2 linked regions of the Macaca fascicularis genome follow. The protein of the gene in region 2 binds, or shares a complex with, the protein of the main gene of each other region. Links are inferred from orthologs where the notes say so. Each region holds a gene or a part of one and is shown on either strand. Other genes may lie near its edges.

Region 1 (3,805 bases), on a different chromosome or scaffold from region 2:
ATAGTAGATGATTGAGCAAACCAAAAAAGCTACCTTATAACTGCAAAAATTTAACTATTATTTAATATATTGAATATTCTCATGTATATACACATATACACCTAGTTTTACTAATCAGCACAGTTACACATTCAGAACGTTATTACCAATGTTGAATTACAAATCTCTCAAAACACTTATTGACTGAGTTGAATTAATTTTTGACAGTTGAGATGAAATAATTCGAATTGGTAGAAGCCACAGTAATTGGTATTGTTACATAGGGGTTACATGTGATGCCAAGTATTTGGATTGACTTAACTCACTGGCTATTTCAGTGCCACTCATAAAGTTGATAAATAAATGGCCATTTTCTGGTATCAAAATACCTTACCATAAGAGCTCTTTTGATCCAGTTCTAGATGAGCATGATTTTCTCTCTGCCATTGGATGTCCCTTGGAATTTCGATCGCCATGAAACTTAACATCGTCCCATTTTTCCAGTTGTGTTTGAATGTCTAGTAAGTACAGAGGAAGCGGGTGAGGCAGGTTGGGGGAGCATGTGGTGCAGAGAGAAAAAGAGAGCTTAATTAAGATTGAAAAATCTTATCAAAGTGAGCTTCATTCAACCAATGTCCCAAGCCCCAAGATCAACCTTTATCTTTTCAATGTTGCATAAAAATTAAAACTTGTACAGCTAAATAGAAATCTCCTATTAAGATAAATTGCATTGCTTTTACAGTTAATGCAATCAAGTTGTTTGACCTGAATTTATTTCTGAAGCTGTGTACATTCTGAATCTTGTACATGAGCCTGTGCAATCCAGTGTAGAATGTACATCTGGAGCACTACCCTGTCAGTCTCTGGCTAAAGCAGGGGTTTGGGGGCATTGCTGGCATGATTCCAGAAAGAAATTCTGTTTAAAGAGATGAGCTTCATTGTTAAAAGGAGGTGGGGATAAATCAGAACACTTTCACAGCTTTTGAATAAAGCATGTAATTTTTCACCAAAGGAGGGAATTTATAATGGGGAGAGAGAGAAAGGAGGCAATGAGGACAGCCAAGGGAATCCTGGAACCATTTTATCCCTGTGGCTTAGTTCTTATAGATAAAAAAAATCTGGCTAGATTCTCTCTCATTACAGGTGTGTGGCTGTGAATAAACCACTGAAACAATCTCGGGGTTCAGTTTTTTAGCGTATAAAAAGATTGGGCCAGGTGGCAAGGGCTCACGCCTGTAATCCCAGCACATTGGGAGGCAGAGGCAGGTGGATCACCTGAGGTCAGGAGTTCGAGACCAGCCTGACCAACATGGTGAAACCCTTTTTCTACTAAATACAAAAAAAAAAAAAATGAACGGGGTGTGGTGGTGCATGCCTGTAATCCCAGCTACTTGGGAGGTTGAAGCAGGGGAATTCCTTGATCCTGGGAGGCAGAGGTTGCAGTGGGCCCAGATTGCGCCACTGCACTCCAGCCTGGGCAACAAAGCAAAACTCTGTCTGAAAAAAGAGATCAGTTTGCAGATGATGTTCTCTAAGGTCTTTTTTCCCCTTCTTTTTAAAAACTCTGGTAAAAAATGCATAACAAATTGACCATTTAAACCATATGTTAGTGTACAATTCAGTAGCATTAGTACATTCACACTGTTGTGTAACCATCACCACTATTCATCTCCAGAATTTCTCATCATTTCAAACTGAAACTCTACTCATTAAACACAAACTTTTCATTCCCCCAGCAAAAACCTGGTAACTTTTATTCTACTTTCTGTCTGTATGAATTTGACTGTTGTGGGTACCTCGTACAAGTGGAATCCTCCAATCCAGGTTGATTATTCCTTATGCAAAATGCTTGGGACCAGGAGTGTTTCAAATTTGGGATTTTTTTTCTTGGTTTTTGGAATATTTGCATATGTCATAATGAGATATCTTGGGGCTGGGACTCACATTTAAACATGAAATTCAATTATGTTTCATACACACCTTACACACATAGCTTGAAGGTAATTTTATAAAGTATTTTAAATAATCTTATCCATAAAACAAAGTTCTGACTGTGACTTATCACATGAAGTCAGGTGTGGAGTTTTCCACTTACAGATTTTGGAGGATTTCAGATTTTCGAATTAGGGATGCTCAACCTGTATTTGTCCTTTTGTGCCTGGTTTACTTCACCTAGCACAATATCTTCAAGGTTCATCCATGTTGTAGCATGTAAGTTATTCCTTTCCAAGGCGGAATAAGTTCATTGTCTGTATATATTACATTTTGTTTATCCATTCATCTCATGATACGTTTCAGTTGTTTTCACCTTTTTACTATTGTGAATAACACTGCTATTCTTTTTTTTTTTTTTTTTTTTTTTTTGAGATGGAGTTTTGCTCTTGTTGCCCAGGCTGGAGTGCAGTGGCGCGATCTCGACTCACTGCAACCTCCGCCTCGCGGGTTCAAGCAATTCTCCTGCCTCAGCCTCCCTAGTAGCTGGGATTACAGGAATGTGCCAACATGCCTAGCTAATTTTTCTTTGTCTTTTTAGTAGACACAGGGTTTCTCCATGTTGGTCAGGCTGGTCTCACGCTCCTGACCTCAGGTGATCCACCCGCCTCAGCCTCCCAAAGTGCTGGGATTACAGGCATGAGCCGCTGCGCCTGGCCAACACTGCTATTCTTAAAGGTGCTTTTAAACTAAATACTTTTACAACTTCTTCATAGGACATTTTCTCAGAAGCAGAGAAATAAGTGTTCATCATCTGCATGCTTATTGTGTTATATCGTAATATATTAATATATTCTATTTTTTAAGGCAAGGTCTCACTCTGCTGCCCAGGCTGAAGTGCTGTGGTGCAGTCACAGCTCACTGTAGCCTCAATCTCTTGGGCTTAAGCAATCCTCCTGCCTCAGCCTCCCAGGTAGCTGGAACTACAGGCTTATGCCACTATGCCAGGCTAACTTTTAAAATTTTGTAGAGATGGGATCTCACTGTGTTGTCCAAGTTGGTCTCAAACTCCTGGCCTCAAGCAGTCCTCCTGCCTTGGCCTCCCAAAGTGCTGGAATTACAGATATGAGCCACTGCACCCAATCAATATATTAATATATTTTTATCTAAATCTATACATGTTATTAACTTATTTGTAAAACTGAATAAACCTAGATGGTGAGGAAATAGTAGAGATAGTTATAAAATTTCCCTCCAAAGACAGACCTCAAAGAGGGATGGCAGGGGAAAGGAGTTCCTGTGTATGCCACTAATTTGAGCAATGGCGTGGTTCTCTTTCCTTTCTTTACAGTCTATCCCTGGAAGAGCTCATCTACACCCATGGTTCCAATATCCATTCATACACAAGCTTCTGACTTACAAATCTCCATTTCCTACTCAGCTCTTTTTCTCCAGTTCTAGACCTATATACTTAACAGCCTAATGGAGGTATCCACAGAGAAGTCCCAAGTTTCCACAAATATAGCAGGTTCAAAGCTGAACTCAATAGTTCACTCCTGCTCCTCTTCCATCTTCTGTCATGGAGCTTGGCACATTCTACATGTCCCCATTGCTCACATATACATATTATCTGTTTCTAAGTCTTGTTTTCATAGTTTTTGGAACCTGTCTCTCTCTTTCTCATTATCCCCCTTGTCACTGTTGGATCTCTGTACTGGTCTCATTGCCTCTATTCCTTTCTCCGTAAATCCACCAGAGAAGGATTTTTCTAAAATAGAAACCATTGCTGTCATTCCTCTTAGTAGAACTCTTCAAACATCATCCCTCCTTCCCCAATCTTAAGGGCATGACATCCAAGGATTCCTATGATCTTGCCACAAGTGATTTTCAGACT
Region 2 (4,303 bases):
CACTGAGTGCCTCCTGTGTGCAGGAAGGGGGCCATCTCTGCCCCGGTGGCCCCGAGGTGCAGGTGGGCAGGCGGCACCCGACACACAGGGCATCATGGCTGAGAGGACGTCAGGCCAGGTGCCAGAAGGGTCCCAGGAGGGCAGGAGGGTCCCAGGAGGATCTCAGGAGGGTCCCAGGAGGATCTCAGGAGGGTGCCAGGAGGGTCCCAGGAGAGTGCCATGAGGGTGGGGATGTTCAGCCTCCACTTCTTCGTGTGTGACTGTCTCTCTCCTCTCTCTCACTTGCCAACTCTCTCACCCACCCCATCCCGGCTGTCTGGTGGGCTGGGTGGGCTGGGTGGCTAGGGACACAGGCCTCATGTCACCTGGCACCAAGCAGCCCCCACACTCGGCCTGGCTGTGGCCCAGAAGCAGAGCCTTGGGAAGCACCTGTCTCAGAGCCGGAGACTGGGGGCACTGGGGGCACAGCCGCACCCGAAGCTTGAGGGGTCGGGGAAGGAGGCAGCCCCGGGGCAGAGGGCTCTGGTGCCTGTGCGAAGGCACTAGTGGGCTCTGGGTCTCCCTGTGACCCCAATCTAAAGCCCACCAGACCTAGAGGAGACCCCCCCACCCCACACTGCTCCCCAGGGCACGGTTTGAGGGTGGGTGGGAGCCCCACACCTTCGGGTGCCTCTTCTAGTTTTCCCTGTCAGTTTCCTCAAATGCAGACCAGGGAGAGGAGTGCCCGAGTCTCCCAGAACGGCCCCCAAGCCGGCCGGCCCCTCCCCACGCACTCAGGGGTCCCTGTCCAGGGCCCACGGGCGACCCAGCAAGGGCTCCTGTGACCTTTAGAAACACGCTTTCATTGTGGGAGTCTTCAAACCTACGGAAAGCAAGGAGGCGCTGGCCGTGGCGGCCTCCCGTCTCCCAGGCCCGCGTGCACCCTCCCCGCGCCGGTGCCCTCCGGGCAGAGGTGGAAGCCGCGGCGCGGGAGAGGCGGCCTCGGCCGGGCAGCGGGGCTCCGTGACCTTGGGCGCGTCCTTACACGTCGCGGGCCTCAGTTTCCCCTCCTGGGGAGAGGCCCGCGCGGGGCTCCGAGGCCTCGGGCCGCGTGACCTTGGGGCGCCCCGGACCCCGCGGCCCGAGTTTCCCGGCGCCGGGCGGAGGCGGCGCGCGGGGAGGGGGCGCAGCCGGGCGGGACTCCCGCCCCCGCCCCTCCCCCGCCGCGAGGCTCCGCCCCCCGCGGCTCCGCCCCACCCCGCCCCCGCCTCCCCCCTCCCTCGGGCTCCGGCCGGCGGCGGCGGCGGCGGCTCCGCTCCGCACTGCCCGGCGCCGCCTCGCCATGGACGCGCGCGGGGGCGGCGGGCGGCCCGGGGAGAGCCCGGGCGCGACCCCCGCGCCGGGGCCGCCGCCGCCGCCGCCGCCCGCGCCCCCCCAACAGCAGCCGCCGCCGCCGCCGCCGCCCGCGCCCCCCCCGGGCCCCGGGCCCGCGCCCCCCCAGCAGCCGCCCCGGGCCGAGGCGTTGCCCCTGGAGGCGGCGGACGAGGGCGGCCCGCGGGGCCGGCTCCGCAGCCGCGACAGCTCGTGCGGCCGCCCCGGCACCCCGGGCGCGGCGAGCACGGCCAAGGGCAGCCCGAACGGCGAGTGCGGGCGCGGCGAGCCGCAGTGCAGCCCCGCGGGGCCCGAGGGCCCGGCGCGGGGGCCCAAGGTGTCGTTCTCGTGCCGCGGGGCGGCCTCGGGGCCCGCGCCGGGGCCGGGGCCGGCGGAGGAGGCGGGCAGCGAGGAGGCGGGCCCGGCGGGGGAGCCGCGCGGCAGCCAGGCCAGCTTCATGCAGCGCCAGTTCGGCGCGCTCCTGCAGCCGGGCGTCAACAAGTTCTCGCTGCGGATGTTCGGCAGCCAGAAGGCCGTGGAACGCGAGCAGGAGCGCGTCAAGTCGGCGGGGGCCTGGATCATCCACCCGTACAGCGACTTCAGGTACCGCCTCCGGGAGGGCCGGTCGGCGCGAGGGGGCCCGGGGAGCCGGCGCGCGGGGGCCGTCCTTGGAGCGCCTGGGGAGGGCGGGGCGGCGCGCCCGGCCGGTGACCTCGGGGCTCCTCGGTGACCTCGGGCGTGTCCAGGACCCGCCCCGGAGTGACCCCGGCGCGCGAGGCTCCGCCTCTGGGGGGCTCCCGGGGTGACCCCGGAGCGCCCCCCTCCCACGCACCCCGACATACTCCGCCCTGCGGCGCGGCGGGTGGGGTGGGCCGCAGGGCCAGGGTCTGAGCGCCGAGGGGCGCAGAGGACGAATAGAGGGGAACGTGGGCCCCAGAGAGGCGGCGGAGCGGAAGGGAGGAGGAACGAAGGGCGCCCGGGAAGGACGCGCCTGAGGGAGGCCGGGGGAGAGGGGGTTAAGCGGCTCCCACGGCGTCCACCCGCGCCCCGCCTGCGAGGAGGCGCGCCCGGAGCCGCGGGCCTGGAAAGCGTGCGGGTCCCCAAGCTGTGTCTCCAGGAGCCGCTCCACCCGAGCCGCGGGCGGTGCGCGCATGTGGCGGTGGGTGTGTAGATACCGCTGTGGATCAGCCGGCTAATGCGTGGAGGGCTCGGAGCAGGGCCGGCGCGAGACCACCGCCGCCGATGTTTGCGTTCCTGGTTCCCGGGCTGTGCGTGCTGTGGCCGGAGAGTGAGACCGGCGCGTGTCCCCGTGGGCTGTGTGTGAACAGGGGCGCGTGACGGCGGCGGGGTTCCCGGGGCGCAAGCCTGTGGCCCGGGAGGTGTGTCTCCAGGGGTGTGTCTGCGTGGTGGTCGCGAGCGTGTGTCTGCGTGGTGGTCTCGGGCGTGTGTGCCCCGGGTGGTTTTATCGTGGTGGGACGTGTGGTTCGTATGTGTTGGGACCAGGTGGCGGGCGTGCGTTGTGCGCCCGGGGCCGGTGTGCACCGGTGGGCAGTAGTGTGAGCCGTAGGCAGGTCTCACACGCGCGACCGTGGACGGCTGCGTGTGTGTTTGTCCACGAGTGGGGTGTGAGGTGGGTTGTGGAGGGTGTAGATGGGGCCCGCCGGGCGGGCGCGGTTTCAGCACCACGGACAGCGCGCCGGGCCTGGGAAGGCTGCGATTTTCCCGCCTGTCTCTCCTCCTCCAGGCCTGGGCACCCCTGAACGGCCCCCATGGACCCTGGACCCCCAGAACTGGGCAGGGAGGCTGTGGGAATCTCTCTTCCCTTGACTTCTCTGCACCCCTAGTGATTGGCTGGAGAAACTGAGGCCTGGGGCACACACGTCCTGGACAGCCTGGAGGAAGGCCCTGGAATCCTCCTCCCACCCCAGGTCTTCCTGAGAGAACACAGCTTTGACCAGAAGCCTGGATTTCGAGACCGGCCAGGGGTGGAGGAGCCCCAAAACCCCCAGAAGGGCTGTGTCCGGCCCCTCCCACCCCGCCTCCGTGCCCCACTGGGAGAGCTTGGTCAGCGTCTGGGCTCTGGCCTGTGAAATGCGGACAGTGAGCAGGAAGGACTGGACTTCCAGGGCTGCTGGTCGGCCTGGCCCCACTTCCAGTCGGGCAGTGGCACCGCCTGGCCGGAGAGGGACGTGGTGGGGAGGGAGCTGCAGAGAGCGCCCACTCCCCTTCTTCGTCCCCTCCAGCATGACCGCCGACAACGATGGGTGCACCACAGTGCAAGGGCTGGCAGGTGGAGGCCCACGTTAACCACTCCCTCCCCTGGGCAGTTCCAGTGACCCCCTGGCTGCAGAGGGGCAGTCGGTGTCCTGGGGGGCAGGTGGGCTGATGGCTGATCCTGGCGCTTGGGGGGAAGGCCGGTAGGAGGAGTGAAGCCCCTCATCCTTCCACCCACCTTGCACGCAGTCACCTGGAGGCCCGGGCAGGCCGGGGCCCCGCTCTGTGCTGTGAGGTGTTGAGGGCTCAGAGGCCCCCTGTGTGGGCCAAGTGCGGCGTCACCCAGGCAGACGAGTGTTGAAGTGGAACTGAGCAGGCAGGGAATGGGGTTAGCGGGGCCTGTCTTCAGGACTAGGGGAGTTACAGCAGTCAGATTTTAAAAAAGGATTTCGATGTTGCCAAGCTGGGTGCACGCGGCCCCTATGACCCTCCCCAGGCTTGGGACCTGTGCCCCTTTTCGACTGTCCTGAATCAGTGTGGAAAAAGACCCCCAGAAATATCTCAAAAGCTCCCTAAGCCCCCGCTGGGCCGGGGGCTGTTGGAAGCACCTCTGAGGATTAATTTAATAATATTAATTATTGTAAGGGCGAGGAGGGTGCTGTTGCTAACCTGTTTTACCCAGGAGGAAAGAGAGGCCCACATAAGTCATTTGGTCAGAGACACACAGCTCCTGAGGGCC

Evidence for each region.
Region 1: the proteins of HCN2 (region 2) and PEX5L are in contact, whole or in part, in a crystal structure (PDB 4EQF), measured with the Mus musculus proteins. The link is inferred for Macaca fascicularis from reciprocal best matches to the Homo sapiens genes HCN2 and PEX5L. Residues at the interface, in NP_032252.1 of Mus musculus: Leu859, Ser860, Ser861, Asn862, Leu863; in NP_001156988.1 of Mus musculus: Glu315, Glu317, Val343, Asn347, His426, Asn453, Arg454, Ala457, Thr458, Ala460, Asn461, Tyr472, Arg484, Tyr487, Asn488, Ile491, Ile494, Ile537.

Annotation. Positions count from the first base shown.
Region 1 is NC_088376.1:91,655,625-91,659,429, forward strand, and holds part of PEX5L (PEX5-related protein), read right to left. Parts: intron 498-3,805; coding exon 374-497; intron 1-373. UniProt on the Homo sapiens protein: Accessory subunit of hyperpolarization-activated cyclic nucleotide-gated (HCN) channels, regulating their cell-surface expression and cyclic nucleotide dependence.
Region 2 is NC_088393.1:1,143,673-1,147,975, forward strand, and holds the start of HCN2 (potassium/sodium hyperpolarization-activated cyclic nucleotide-gated channel 2), read left to right. Parts: upstream 1-1,261; 5' UTR 1,262-1,321; coding exon 1,322-1,953; intron 1,954-4,303. UniProt on the Homo sapiens protein: Hyperpolarization-activated ion channel that is permeable to sodium and potassium ions. Displays lower selectivity for K(+) over Na(+) ions. Contributes to the native pacemaker currents in heart (If) and in neurons (Ih).